Linked DNA regions of Mytilus edulis. The protein of the gene in region 2 binds, or shares a complex with, the protein of the main gene of each other region. Links are inferred from orthologs where the notes say so. Each region holds a gene or a part of one and is shown on either strand. Other genes may lie near its edges.

Evidence for each region. The genes of interacting proteins can lie anywhere in the genome.
Region 1: eukaryotic translation initiation factor 3 subunit D-like (region 2) and eukaryotic translation initiation factor 3 subunit E-A-like share a complex: the UniProt entries of both Drosophila melanogaster proteins name them as parts of the eukaryotic translation initiation factor 3 (eIF-3) complex. The link is inferred for Mytilus edulis from reciprocal best matches to the Drosophila melanogaster genes eIF3d1 and eIF3e.

Annotation. Positions count from the first base shown.
Region 1 is NC_092344.1:103,021,604-103,029,720, reverse strand, and holds the start of eukaryotic translation initiation factor 3 subunit E-A-like, read right to left. Parts: upstream 3,161-8,117; 5' UTR 3,119-3,160; coding exon 3,029-3,118; intron 1,899-3,028; coding exon 1,781-1,898; intron 1-1,780. Other genes in the region: E3 ubiquitin-protein ligase RNF146-like, read left to right, coding at 5,258-5,477, 7,558-8,117. UniProt on the Drosophila melanogaster protein: Component of the eukaryotic translation initiation factor 3 (eIF-3) complex, which is involved in protein synthesis of a specialized repertoire of mRNAs and, together with other initiation factors, stimulates binding of mRNA and methionyl-tRNAi to the 40S ribosome.
Region 2 is NC_092352.1:39,012,008-39,019,671, reverse strand, and holds the start of eukaryotic translation initiation factor 3 subunit D-like, read right to left. Parts: upstream 3,061-7,664; 5' UTR 2,988-3,060; coding exon 2,865-2,987; intron 2,023-2,864; coding exon 1,977-2,022; intron 1,293-1,976; coding exon 1,153-1,292; intron 581-1,152; coding exon 492-580; intron 30-491; coding exon 1-29. UniProt on the Drosophila melanogaster protein: mRNA cap-binding component of the eukaryotic translation initiation factor 3 (eIF-3) complex, which is involved in protein synthesis of a specialized repertoire of mRNAs and, together with other initiation factors, stimulates binding of mRNA and methionyl-tRNAi to the 40S ribosome.

The sequences.
Region 1 (8,117 bases), on a different chromosome or scaffold from region 2:
TACGGCCAAAGCAAGGCTTCCAAAACGGTCATATATTCCGGTCATTTGTATGTCTGTTAAAAGTCCAGCTGGGCCAAGCATGAAACAGTCATCTACTTTTTAGTTTTTAAGGCTTTTTCTGTCATTTTAACCTAATTGACGATCTTTTTGACCCAATTTTTTGCCTTTAACAGCCCCACATTTCCGGTCATAAAAGTGACATGATGATTAATTACTATCAAAACAACCCCTACTTCAATACTCTCTAATTTTAATCCAAGCTAATTAGTTGTTGGACAGCTGAAAACTACCTGTTCAGATGACAGGTAAACAATAATTTTCAGTACCGGACATCGTATAAATTAATCGGTCTATTCACAATTATTTCCGTACATTTCAGTGGTTTGTATCTAATTGAATTAGTCCAAAAGATTAAATTATAATAAATACATTTATAAACATGATTTGATGAAACATTTAAAAAGATTTTAAATGAAAAATCGTCAGAACTATGTTGCATGAATAAGAACACGTGTGCGCATGTGCACAGGTGGGAAATTTAATTATGCATCCTACATTTCTTCAAAAATGGTAAAATAATCATTGAAACCGGTATCTAACGTTCATTTCAAGTATTTTGTTCAAGAAATAACGTGGAAAGAGCTTCTTCACTCAGTCGTGCTTTGTAAATGTACACGGATTTTACGTATCCGTTTATGGTCCATGTTTTACCATTGTCAAGTCAACATCCGGTTTGGGAAAATGTGTCAACATCCGGTTTGACTTTGAAAACTAAAGTAAATTTTTTGACAACGTCATTTTGCACAAATAAAGAGCCGGCAGATATGAGCACGCTGATGTACACACTTTGAATGATGCACTGCCAATTTTAACAGTTTACATCAGAACATCAAATTCATATCAAAGTAAAGTTTAATTTCGTTTTTTTTAATCTAATGTCAATCATTGGGATGGCCATTTGATTACCATAATTGCCTTTTGTGACTTAGTCTTAGAGATTAAAATTGGAATCAGATATAAAATGTCCGGCTGGCTCAAAATTTTTTTAGAAGCCCTGGGCCAAAGACAATTAATTCTAATCTTGTAAATAACTCTTTGTAGTTCATACAATACTAGTTTGAGACCATGGAAAACAGATATATTTTTTGTTTAATCCATGTTCTTTATAATACATATTTTCAGAATTAGTGAATAGTCTAAAAAATCAAAATTCAACCAGACAATTGATCGTCTTTGAATCCTTAATCACATTTGTAAGTAATATTATAGTTCAACCATTCTCAACCATCTTCTCGTTTGTATTACAGTAAATCAAGTTTTGTTCTATTCCAATATGTCATTTAGGTCGATGCAAAGCACTAATTCAGGCATGTCAGGAGCAGGAGGAGTGGTATGTAAATTGCCATTTTTATAAAAATTTCTTCCTGAATCCTTTCAGAAATTAGTTCATATTTTCGTATTTCCTTAAACACATTACGAGAGAAAGGTGTGCAAATGCACTGGAACAATGCCTAGTTGAATTATTGCTGAAGTGTAGTATTTGTTTGATGTGAATAAGATATAATGTTTATCACATGTATATATGTAAGTGTAAAAATATAAGTGAACCAACACCTGAAGTGGTGATTAATATGTCTACAATAAAGACAACAACACTCAAGTTTTTAGCGCAAAGTATCTGTTTATTTGGTCGACATGTTTCACCTATAAATAGGCCTCATCAGGACCTGAGTGTTATTGTCTTTATATAGTCGACATATTTATGTAACTGTATAATTACTTTGTGGTACATCTTTGTCAGGATATAAATTTTTATGTACATCCATTGCAAAGTCCACCATGTTTGTATTACTGAGAAGATCCAACTTCCCTTTTAACATCTGTTTTTCATCATACAGCTGAAAACATAAAAATATTTTCTTAACTATAGACTAATATATGTGCAGTGAGGGTTATAGACAACACAAGTATCTCAAACATTTATAACGGTAGAAATCAAGTTATTTTAAAACATTCATCATTACTTCTAGTACTTTCAATACTTTTAGTTACCGAAGAAGATCTCACAAGGATTTCCTAGTGACCGAGAGATATGATGGTAGTTCTCTGAGTTGCGATTCTTTTTGAATTATATGTCTCTGTTATTTCCAAATGTTTGTACTTTTTCTATGTATAATTATAAGGATAATTTTTATCATCAAACACCTAATTCTACAAATAAATAGCTAGACTTTAAGAAACTGAACATTGTTTTGACATTGAACATTTTACTAACATTTCCAGTTACTCTGTGCTTGATGAGGGATTTCTGAAAGTGGTCAAATCAGAAATGAATCTAATTCTAGTATACACCTTATTGCTATTCCCAACTGACCAAAGAATCTGTCCCGCTTAAACTATTGACTGACGTCATATCACAATCACTTTTCAATAGTGGCGTCAGATATTTTGTATTGTGGCGTCAGAACTTTACAGGAACCTGTGTATTGTCCAGTAATGGCAGGAAATAGTGATGAGGTGCATTAATCTAAGATACACGACCATAAAAGGGATTACGTCTGGTCTTAATTTATAATTTTCAATCTTGTTAATATAGGAGAGTTGTTTGTAGTTCTGGTTTGCTATTTTATCTTTTTTTTTATTGTTAATATCTATAAAATAATTCAAATCGAAAGTACCGGTATCGGGTTTTATATGGTCAATACGGAAAGGTTATCTATGAGGGGGGATAGGACCTTTATCGGGACTACGGGATCGGGTGTTTTTAAGCTCGGGATTTCGGGATTGACCCTTTCGGGATCCGGGAATTCTTTTTTCGAATTTCGGAACCTCGGGATTTCGTGTTTTTAAGCCCGGGATTTCGGGATTTCGTATTTTTAAGCCCGGGAATTCGGGATCAGGACCCCTCCTACCCTCCCTCATCTATGACAGATCATCTATGACAGATGGGATAAACATTCATTTGAATCGTAGCTCGGGATCACGATACGTTTCTTTCTGTGTCATGTATGTTTATTATACTACTTACTTCTTTCACAGATAAAAATTCTAGTAAAGGGAAGACCAAATGACGGTCTAAATACTGTCCCATTCGCGAAGTCAAGTCCCATTCCGCCATGCTGCCGGTGCGCTTGTCAAAAAGGATTATAAATCATAAAACAAACGTCGGGTACGGATAGGAATATTCTTTGTTTTTTTTATACAGTTTTTTTTTTTAAAAGCATGCATAACATTCAGACGCAATTGCAATTTTAGAAACAAATGGGTATAACAGTAAATTTCTTACCATATATTTTGTATATATATTCGAACGATGAACAGGAAAGCGGGGCTAATATTTATTCGGATTTCCGAGCCTTTCAAGGACACGGATTTTGATAGTCTCATTGTAGAACACTTGCTATTTTAAACTCTATAGATATAATATCCCCACTCGATGTTTAAGTTTCCAATTATTGTGTAATTGCTATTTTGTTTAATTTTTTTTAAAGAAAGAGGTGTATAATTTGACTTCATTATAACCGTCACGCATTCAACACAAAATGGATTCAGTGTTAAGATGTCATAAACAGTCAGAGAAAAACATGACTTTGTGAATGCCAAGATACAGGTATCGACAGAATGTAGATCCATGAATGTGTATATGTATATAACATACTAGTAATATTTAGTTTGCTTTTAATTTACTGATAACAAAATCAATAGTTATACCAATAAAAACAATCATTAAATGATTACAGTGTAACACTGTAATCATTTAATATACTGACCAATAAAAACAATCATTAAATGATTACAGTGTAACACTGTAATCATTTAATGATTGTTTTTATTGGTATAACTATACTGTTGAATTGGTAACCTTTTAGAATAACTTTATTTAAAGGAGCGATCAGTTTACAAGGATCATTTCTAAATTTCCGGGCACGGTTAACAACATTTCCGTAAAAATGAAGATGTGCTATCCTGTTTGAAATAAGTTTCCTACAGGTACAATCAAACTTCAAAATCAAATTTTTATATCTATCGGAAATTTAATAAAGATTTTAAGTAATTTATGGATATACATTACGATGATCCCTGGTTTAATAATTTACCAGTAATACATAGATTATGTTCGTTAAAATCAAAAACGTCACAACAGACACGGGCATAGCGAACGAGCTGTGAAATATAAACACTTTTACACTTACTGGTCTCTTGGAAATGTTGTTTGTGCTGTATTGAGACCCTTCTACAACGATGTTTTTTACATGCAGACGTATAAAAATTGCGTTTTTTTATCCAACGCAATCATAGGTTTGGACGTTGTTTTCAAAAGTTTAGACTTGTTTTAATATATATATCCGAGATATATCTAAATGGAATCTCACTATATATATATATTGTATTCAACATGATAGTCCATTACGCTCTATCAGTATTATAAGAGACATATCGGCTAGCCTGTATTCATATGTCTCTGGCTCTATGAAATAAGTTTTATGGCTTTTTATGTTTTCATGCTACTTTTAGAACTAGTTTAGCCTATTTATTTGTCTGCTTTGCATGTGCTTATAATCTAGTTTAGTGCTTTACTTGATTGTACTTGCTTTTATATATAATTATATATGAACTCAGTTGCGTATGCAATATAGCTGTCTTTATATTGTCTATTGTGTGTGCTGTATATGTCCTATATATGTCTTGTATGTGTTGTTGTTGTTATTAATGTCGACAAAAAGCTCTACAGAGCTTATGTTTGTAGTATTTACAACCCGACATAAAATAAATTTTCTTATCTTATCTTGTCTTATCGAGCTATAAATCTAAACTAAACAGATTTTTTCAGTTCTTTCTTATTTAAGTTTAACTTTTATTTTAAAGGAAAGTATACTGGGACCTATGATTTGTATAGTACAAATCTTTGCTGTGACCATGGAAGCAATACTTCCATGCTGAGACAAATAAAAAGCCCAATCAATACATTACGGAAATATTTTATGCTGTGTCCAGTGGCAGATTTTTATTTAGTCATCATATTTTATTTTCGGATAAATATTTTGCGGTCTTTTACACTGTGTAAAGAATCGTTTTGATAATAACTTTTTAAATTTAGTTTGATTTTCCAATGGAATTTTGTACCGCACAAGTTCATTAGTGTTCCGAAAAGTATTCGAAAAGTTCGTAACGACGATGAAAGGTCAAGGCTGTTCTAACTGGAAGTGTTCGATTTTTGTGATTCATTAAATTAGTCGCTGCATCAAATGCAGCAGGTATGAGCAGGCCTGGCCTAAGAAGTGGGAGTGCTGCCAACTGTACCAACCAGGCGACCTTGAATCGAGAAATGGCACGGAATGAAACTGACGAAGGAGGACGGCAACGTGAGATGGCAGATCAAGACGATGAAGATAAATGCAGTGAAATCAAACCAAACCAACAACAAGCCAGTACAAAATTTCAGAACATTCAGTATGATTCCCAATTAACAGAAAATGGTATATATATATATTTATATGTAACTTTTAGTCATGATACTGCAACTTGTAAAAAAAGTATTTAATAAGACTGGTATAGTGGTATATAATTCGTGAAATTATGATATAAAATTAGGAGATCTACATGTGATTTGCTATTGAGGCAACCATCTACAATGTATAGGACATGGAGGTAAGCATTTATTGGGCATTGTACATGATATATCCTTTAACAATCAACAAATCCCATACTGTGTCTGTATAGTAAGCTAGTAATTTAGTCAGACTCAGGTGGCCGGCTCAGGTGGTGTCTGTCGAAAATTATCCCACAAAGGGTAATGCATGTTTTTTCATGCGACTCCTTCCTACATCATTGACATTGTACATGTACAATATAACATTAAAGTCATTTTTTATGCTGAACTCCTCTTAACTTTAAGACCGAATTTGACATTTTCTCTTCAATGACAAGTAAAATTTTTGCTTATATACATGTACAAACTCTTACATTATTAGTACCTCATCTGCATGTTTTTGAAAATATCCAAAAGTATCGATAAAATAAGTTATAATTCCATCCAAGTTAGGTATGATCTGGGAACAGTATAATATATATATGTTCCTGGTATGCTGAACTCCTCTTAACTTTAAGACCGAATTTGACATTTTCTCTTCAATGACAAGTAAAATTTTTGCTTATATACATGTACAAACTCTTACATTATTAGTACCTCATCTGCATGTTTTTGAAAATATCCAAAAGTATCGATAAAATAAGTTATAATTCCATCCAAGTTAGGTATGATCTGGGAACAGTATAATATATGGTATGATATACTTCTTTTTTCAAATGGTTGCCCAGATTTTCTAAGATCCTTCCCCACAAAAAAATCTACATACCAAAATCTGAATTTATTTAATAAATTTCAGCCTTTTCAGGAGTAAAATTGAAAATGGAGAATGCGTCAAAGAGGCAACAACCTGACTATAGAGCAGCTAGGCCACCAATGGGTCTACAAAACAGGGAGAAAATCCTGCTTGCAGAGGCATGCTTCATCTGGCCCCTAAACAAAAATGTGTACAAGTTTAGTGATAATGGACATCATACTAAACTCTGAAATATATAAATGAACTGAAATTAAAAATCATACAAGACTAACAGAGGTCAGAGGCACCTGACTTGGGGCAGGCCCTTAAATGTGGCAGGGTTAAACATGTTTTGTGAGATCTCAACTCTTTCCCCATGTTCCCTACACTTTTTAGTTCTAGCTAATGTAGAAAAAACAAACACACAGCAATACGCACAGTAAAACTCAGTTTAAAATGTTAAAAGAAGTCAAAGTCTGATGTCAGAATATATATAGGTAACAAAAGAAACTAAACAAAATGACAATGATACATAAATTAACAAAGGAGTGTTTCCTTTAAATGTCACTTTCCCGCCAATTTCAGCTTGTGCAGTTGCCAGTTGTCAAGTTTTTTATAAAAATTGATATCAGCTATTTTTAATATTTTAAAGTATTGTGATCATGCTGACATGGCTGATGTGAAGTTTATTTTTTCTGATTTTCAAAATTTAAAATAATTGAATAACTGAGAGGTCAGTCTCCAGTGGCAGATCCAGAACTTTTCATAAGGGGGGGGGGGGGGGGGGGGGGGGCCCACTCCAGTCATGCTTCAGTGATTCCCTATATAATCAACCAAATTTTTCCCGGATCCGCCTATGGTCTCCTTTTAAGAATAACTAACTTAAATTTAAAATAACTTTTACTTCATAAAATTATATGATCCTATTTGGAATTGTCAAACATGTTGGTAGAAAAACACATATAGTGGGGGATCCAGAACTTTTTATAAATGGGGGCCTGCTACAGTCATGTTTCAGTGATTCTGTATATAATCAATCAAATTTCCCCACATATAAATGACTGATTCTGACAATACTTTTTAAACATTTTGTTTTATATTTTACATGCTTTTTATCATGTTTATGATCATTTTTAAGATATACATGTAGTATGAACAATGTTTGAAACTAATATCTACACATGATGAACTTACGCTCATAGATATTGAAAGGTTTTTTTGGGTTTTTTTTCAGGTGATCCTACCATAGAGTGTTCTGTTTGTTTACAACCTAGTATTTATCCTGTGCAGTTACCATGTCGACACATATTTTGTTTTCTATGTGTAAAAGGTGTAGCTAACAGAAGTAAAAAATGTGCATTATGTAGACAGGAAATCCCTGCAGATTTTTTTGCCAAACCTGTTTTAGTTCGAACTGAAGATTTAGATAAGACAATAAAATTTGATAATGAATATCAGTGGTTTTATGAAGGTCGTAATGGATGGTGGAAATATGATGATAGAACCAGCCAGGAAATAGAAAGTCGTCACAAAACAGGAGAAAAACTATTTGAATTGTTGATAGCAGGATTTTTGTATATCATAGATTTAGAAAACATGATTCAGTATAGGAGAAATGACAGATCGAGGAAGAGGAGAATTAAAAGAGACTTAATTAGTATACCTGATGTTAAAGGTGTAGCTGGACTCAAATTTGATAATGAAATCTCCAGTCGTCTAGGTGGTGATGGAGGTGAAGAGATACAATCAAATACCCAACCCACAACAACGTTAACTAGTCCTGATACTGATGAT
Region 2 (7,664 bases):
GCCATTTCCTCAACAGACGCTGACGATCCCTGTAAAAGTATCATTATTGTCATCATTCAGTTTTACTTGCATATTTAAACATTCAGTGTTTGACGAGAAAAGAATATTAAAAATCCTCAAACATTTATCCTACATTAAACAAGGCGGCTAGCAAAGTATCTTTTACTAGAAATGCTTACTTTGCCCCTATTCAAATGCATTGGTATAGAAAGACAAGATGAAGATTTCATGACACTTTAAATTGTGAATGGTATTTACTCCTTTGTTTTTCCAGTAAGGTGTGCTGTTTACTCTCTGTTAAATATGTAAGTCTTTAGAACTTGCTGCAAAATTATTTTTTTGGTTTTAGTCAGTTTGCGAAAAATTCCTTTATACATATATCAATCAATATAATCCCCCAATCGAGGTAATTTTATCCAAAGAAAAATCTAATTTTATTAGAAAAAAAGCATTCAAGACAAATAACCCTCAAGTTTAAGTAATATCTGTACCTTTCTCTACTTTTCTGTGTTTTAGACAACACCTGCATACTAGCTTGAGCTTGTTGTTGCCTTCTTTCTCTTTCCTTTCTTTGTTTATTCTGCAAAAAAAATGTATTTATAATTTCAAACGTTGTGCAACAAATTTTAGGTCCTTTCACTGTATTTAAACAAACTGAGGCAATGGATTATTGTAAAATATTTGTTCGTTTACTTGGGTGAATATAATCAATACTAGATGGTTTGTTACTTGAAATAGCAGATATGTGGTTAAATTTGATAAGAATTCTTATTTGTAGGACTTCAAAAATAAAGTCTGAAGATTGAATATTATCATGATGATGTTACAACAATGAGACAGTCCACTTATCGGTAATATTGTTGTCTCATAATGATTCCATCATTTTTTATTTGCAGACAAATATCAAATAGCAATATTAAGCTATTGATGTCTTAAAAACACACAAACTTTTGACAACATGTGCTCTTCATGACAATGTGAGAAAAGGATTATAAAAACAACCTGCAAAATTGTCACATGACTGTTTTATACTGAGGGTTTTTGTTTCAGCAATATTCTTTTAACCACATAAGTAAAGCTTAGTTTTGTACTCAGCAAAACAATTATACTTCATAATTTGTTTTAGAACCCTGTTTCAATATGTTTTCATACCTGTTGATAAACTCTTCTTCCTCTTTGGTACACTGGTTTCTGAACCTTAGCTGTATCAACAAGTTGGAAACTGTTCTCATCCTCTTCATGGTAGTAAGCATACTGGCTTCCTAATCCTCCAAATGAAGAACTGTATTTCCCTGTGCAATACAAATATTTAGAGCTGTTGTTTATACATATTAACATAAATCTGCAGTGTCTAAAAGACTTTTAATACACACATCATTACTTACGTATAGATAAAATATTAGTGAAGATGTTGTTTTTCTACCTCCATATCAACACAAATAAAACGGGGAGAAGATGGAGATCCATTGTAGACTTTACATACAAAAGGAATGTTTGACATAGACAGTGTCTAATTCTTCTAGGAAACTGATACTCAAGTAAATGCATCAATTGATTTTTCCAAAATGATGTTATATATATATAAAGCAAAGAGAGAAAAAACCTATTTTTTTTAACAATCTATATCTAAAGAAATGTGTTTCTTTAATAAATTAAAGCTTTTATTTTGATACTCTAAATTAAAAAAATCAACAAATGCTTACTTCGACTTATTGCATGATCATGTTAACCATAATACTTAGTACTTTTTTTTATTATTTGATTATTGAACTGCTACTTATATATTGTATTTAATTTTGTATGCCATAACCATTTAATGTAAATGTGTTTGTGCTAATAAAATATTGTCTATTGTCTACTATATTCTGATTGAAATTTAGCTGAACACCTGCACTCCAAATAAAAATAGGTGCAAATCTGATAAATACATGTACTATTATATAAAACATAACCGTTCTACTTAGATAAACCAATACCTAAATATCTTTTGTCTTGATAGGTTGCTCCAGTCCAATCAGAAACCTAAAAATAAAGCACCATGAGAGATTATATAATTCATGTATAATATGGTTATTATTCAAACTGCAGCTCTAGACATAAATGATATTAGTGACATTACAGAAATTTTGTTCAAATTTCCTAAATCAAAGACTGGAATTTTAAATGTGACCTCATCAGGCATGCTTCTGTCCAACTTTCGTAAAACTTCATGAAGGTTTGACAAAATTATTGATATTAAAATAACCACATATTGAACCTAAATGTTGACGCCGCTGAAAAAATCTAGGTTCGCTATTTCTTTTTTTCGCGTTATAAATGTCGCAGGCTCGGCTAAAATTCAAAGCACATATCGGATCTCAGCTGATTATGAATTTCTTTAAACAAATGGAAAGTAAGAAGAATTACCAGGAGATTCAGAATTTGACCGAAAGAAAATAAACAAATATATAATACGGCACTATTTGATCGGAAATAGATTTCGTCACTTTTATAAGCAATTACAAGCTATTGAAGATTGATTTACAACACTGATGTGTTTTAAACCAGATCTTTTTAATGGAGATATTTTTTTTTTATAAAATTCAAGTGTACGCCCGGGCGTTTTGACGTAAATGTAGCTACGCCCCTGGAAGCCCCTAGATTGGCACCAAAGGCAAAGACCAAGTCAGCAAGTGCCAACTTGTTAAGCACCATCGATCTTAATTGATTATTTTACACATTATGTCTAAACCATTCACCAGATGGAACAAAACTGATCTGCTGTTTGATACTCCAGGAACTTTCCTGGATCATTCTGACAATCCTTCCCTCCCCCTTTTTTAAAGTTACAATATGTTGACAACTTATTCATTACAGTACTCTACCTTTCCGAGCCGATCTCCCTTTGAAAAGGGCTGATATGGCATGTCCTTAAATTGTTCAGGAATAGCACAAGGACCCCATCCAACGGGGTTATCTTGAATTTGTGGGGGATTAAAATATGCCATATTTCTACCGGCAAAACGTGATCGTCTTTCAGCCTCGTTTTCAGACTAAACTAATAACCGAAAAGATTCGGTGAAAACGAACAACAAAGACAAGCCAAACATCTCTGTCAGCCACAAAACTGAAGAGGCCAAAACTATATCTGCCGACTACTCGCCAAGAACAATAACAAACGAGGACCCTACCAAACTCCACGGAATACCTCTAATATACAGCCATCCAAACAAGAAAGCTGCTACAGGAGCATGTCAACAGAAATCTGATAACACCCGAAAGATATGGAATGGAACAAAAAAGGCACATGTACAACACCCTGGTCCAAGTGCACCATTACCACCAAGACAACACTACTATGTCAGAAGACTAGAGTCACAAATCCCTCCAACGCACCACCCTGTTAATCAACAACCGTTATACAACATGGCAACAGGTGCAGCTTGTGGAAACAACCCTTTTTTAGTGCAGAGCAATCCCCAACGAAACAACATCAACCAATTTTAGACACTAAGGACAAATCCATCAGCATAGCCTCATACAACTGTAAAAATATCAAAACATGTGGACACTCCATTAGCGAAATTCTACAGGAAAATGACATCATCTTAATTCAGGAACATTGGCTTTTTCATTCTCAAATACATATGATCTCTGATATTAACTGTAACGTAAACTTTGCAGCCAAGGGGGTGGATATGAACGAACCAATTCTTCCAGTATCCATGCCCAGAGGATACGGTGGCGTGGGAATCATTTGGAACACAAACATAAATCATCTCATTAGACCTCTTGACGACGGATCGGAAAAAATACAGTGTATTGAACTTGAGAACTCGGTTAGGCGAATACTGGTTGTTAGCGTGTATCTACCATCAAACGGGAGCAAAAACCATCAAATAGAATATCAAGAGTGCATAGATGAACTGCACGAGATATGCCAAAAATACATCAGTACTCACCACATTATTATAGGTGGAGACATTAACGAAGACCTTAATGCTGGAAAACCAACGAACAAGAGAAAGGAGTACCTGAAGAAATTTATAAATGAAATTGAATTGAAATTTGATAACATTGGAAATACATTTATCAACTCGAAGGGGTGTGAATGCTCTGAAATTGACTATTTCCTACACAACATAACACCAGACATACTAGGGAAGGGAAAGTCAATCCTCAAATGCCAAACCAACGCCTCAGACCATTATCCAATCAGTATGAGTATAAACTGGAAGCATGAGAAACTTGATATGAACCAAAAAAAACGTCCGAAATCCAAAATTAAATGGGATAAGGTAGACAAGGATCTGTATAAAGCAATAACAGACAAAGAGGCACTGAAGCTGCAAGAATCAATTATTACAGATTCATTAGAGTCACAAGAAGTAGTTGAGCGGATGAATGATATACTCACAACAGCATCACAAAATTCATCAGGAAATAAAACAGTTTATCAATCAAGACCAAAGCTCAAAGTATGGAATAGTGACATAAAGAACGCCTTAAAGGAAAAACGGATCACGTACAACGAATGGCAAAAAGGTGGGAGACCAAACGATCCAGCAAATCCCCTAACACTCAAGAAAAAACAAGGAAAAAAGGAATTTAGGAAAACAGTACGCATAGCAGTAGCAAGGCAACTGGAGGCAGAAAAAGAGAGCATCATGGAAGCAAGATCGAATAACATGGAGGTCTTCCACAAACTAGTTCAAAAGAACCGCAGGAAGGGAATTGAACACATACAGGATATAAACGTTAATGGCGCCACATACTCGGGAGACAAAGTCATAGAAGGATTTAAGGAACACTTCTGTACTCTTTCTACACTTAAAGAAGAGGCCTTCAGCAACCCGGAGTACCACTCCCAAGTGGAAATGGAAATAAGCAATATCTGCAAACTGGTAGACCAAGAAACGATACGCCCTGTCATAGAAAATGATGTCCGTAAAGCTATTTCTACAATAAATAGAAACAAATCCGCAGACTACCATAATATAACCATCGAACATTTCATATATGCTGGAGATAATATCTTATCCGCCCTTACTCAACTCATCAATATCATATTCCTAGAAGGAGATATACCAACAATTCTGAAAATAGGACTGCTTTCTCCTGTATTTAAGAACAAAGGCAGCAAAAACGATGCATTAAACTACCGAGGAATAACTATTTTACCCGTAGAGAGCAAGATAATTGAGGCCATCATTAGAGATCGGGTACAACCAAAAGTGCAGAAGGTGCAAAACCCAACTCAAAGAGGATTCACCAAAGGATCCTCCCCGATGAATGCAGCACTACCTGTGGAGGAAATGTACCGAATTCTCCCGGAAAAAAAGCAAAACGGTTACCTAGTCTTGCTCGACGCAAAAGCTGCCTTTGACACTGTGGTGCACTCACATCTATTCCGCAGGGTATATCATGCTGGGATTCAAGACAGGACATGGACAATCATTAGGAGTCTTCATCAAAACGCAGAAAGTAGCATAAAATGGTCCGGAAAAACATCAGAGCGTTTCACAGTAGGCATGGGTGTCAGGCAAGGAGGCATACTGAGTACAGACCTGTACAAGTTATACATCAACCCTCTGTTAGACCACTTCCAAAACACAACCTACGGCATGACTATAGGGAATGTCAACACAAACAACACCGGATGCGCAGATGATATCGCAATATTGAGTATGCAGCCAGCTGATGCTCAAATTATGGTCAACATGGCCCTTGATTTTGCCAATTCAGAAGGATACCAGCTGCAGCCAAAGAAAAGTGTAGTAATTAAAATAAGCGGAAACAGCAATAACACCAAAATGGAAGAAGACAACCTGATGATGGGTAACACACCTATGCCTAATGTTGAGCAGGCTACACACCTTGGGATCATCAGAACTACAACTCGGAAGAACAATATACAAAGTAACACCAACGAAAATATAACAAAGGCAAGAAGGAGTGCATACAGCCTACTTGGAGCCGGGTTCCATGGACACAATGGTTTGGACCCTGAATCGCTACTGCATATCTACAAGACGTATATACTCCCTGTCCTACTATACGGAATGGAACTTCTAACCCCATCCGGTAAGCCTCTTGAACAACTTGAGATCTTCCAAAAAAGGATGCTTAAACAGATATTATCGCTGCCAACAAGATGCCCTGATCCAGCAGTCTACATACTCACAGGAATTCTTCCGGTTGAAGCCCAAATTCACATTAAGACGCTAACTTTCTTTAACAATATCTGCCATCAATCAGAAGAGAGTACCGAGAAAAAGCTTGCCAGAAGACAACTGACAGTCTGCAGTGAGGAAAGTAATAGTTGGTTCATACACGTCAACAAGTTGCTACGTCTATACGATCTCAGCGAAGCAAACACCTACTTGGCCAACCCAACAAAGAAAACTCAGTGGATCACATTGATAAAGAACGCTGTGATGAAATACTGGAGCATCAAAACTGTACAAATATCCGAACTATACTTGGGCCTAAAGTACCTGAGCAGTCAAAACCTCATCAAGGGAAAACTTCACCCAATCCTCCAACACAAGAGTCAATCCGCTCTAGACAATAGCAGAATCCCTACCAGATTACGCCTTATTACTGGAACTTATGTACTTCAAACAAAACGGATTCAATTCTACAGACAAGAAACAGACCCGACCTGCCTGCTTTGTGGGTTACAGGAGGAAACACTAGAACATTTTGTAATGCAATGCGAGAAGTTACAGTCCGTTAGAGCGGTGATACTTAAAGAGGTGAATGACATATGGCAAAATGAGATGAATAATACCATAAGGTTCCATGACCTGGACATTACAACGCAAATGCAATTGCTCCTCGACAGTGCAAAACTCATCAACCTAAATAGACATAACTCAGCCAGCGTAGCCCGTATGGAAAACCATTCCAGAAACCTTTTCTTCAAGTTGCACATAAAGAGAAATGTACTGTTGGACGAAAAGACTTAGAGGCACATCGTAGAAGATAAGCTAGCATGGAGAGGGGGAGGGGTAGGGATACCATTGACTCTGGGTCCTAAAGCACCGGATTGCCCACAGATTCATAGTGGACATACTTTTAGATTTTACCGTACATATACTTTTATCACAATGCAGTAATTTCGTATGAACACTGAACTTTTAGATTTTTAAGAGCAAACATTTTTTAAACATGGAGCTTTAAATACGTATTTTAACCAGGCAAAGTCGCTCTCTATATATATATTCCGTATGTGAGGACATTCTAGATTTTAGATTATAAGCGATTAATAAGAAGCCGTTTTTATATATTAACACAAAACCCCGTGTGGATAGACTTGTTTTAACATTGATAAAAATCGCCATGAACTTTTATTATAACATACATGAATTTTAAAATGTCGGGAGGTGTCGTTGCGGATTGCAAACATTATCTTTAGTGATATTCATATATGTAAATAATGTACATAATGGTGGAAGGATGATCCAAAAAATTCATGGATAAATTATGGTGATGGGACCCACAGACACAGCACCAATGTAAATAATGAGCACCGCCACCCAAAGCACCCGTTCAACACACAGAAACTGTGTGGTTCTCCTTTGAAGGGGGTAAAGATACAGAGGTAAGGTTCCCATTCAAGTATACCATGTACGATCATGTACCGTTATTAAAGAGGTTAACAACCTTAATTATAACCAATG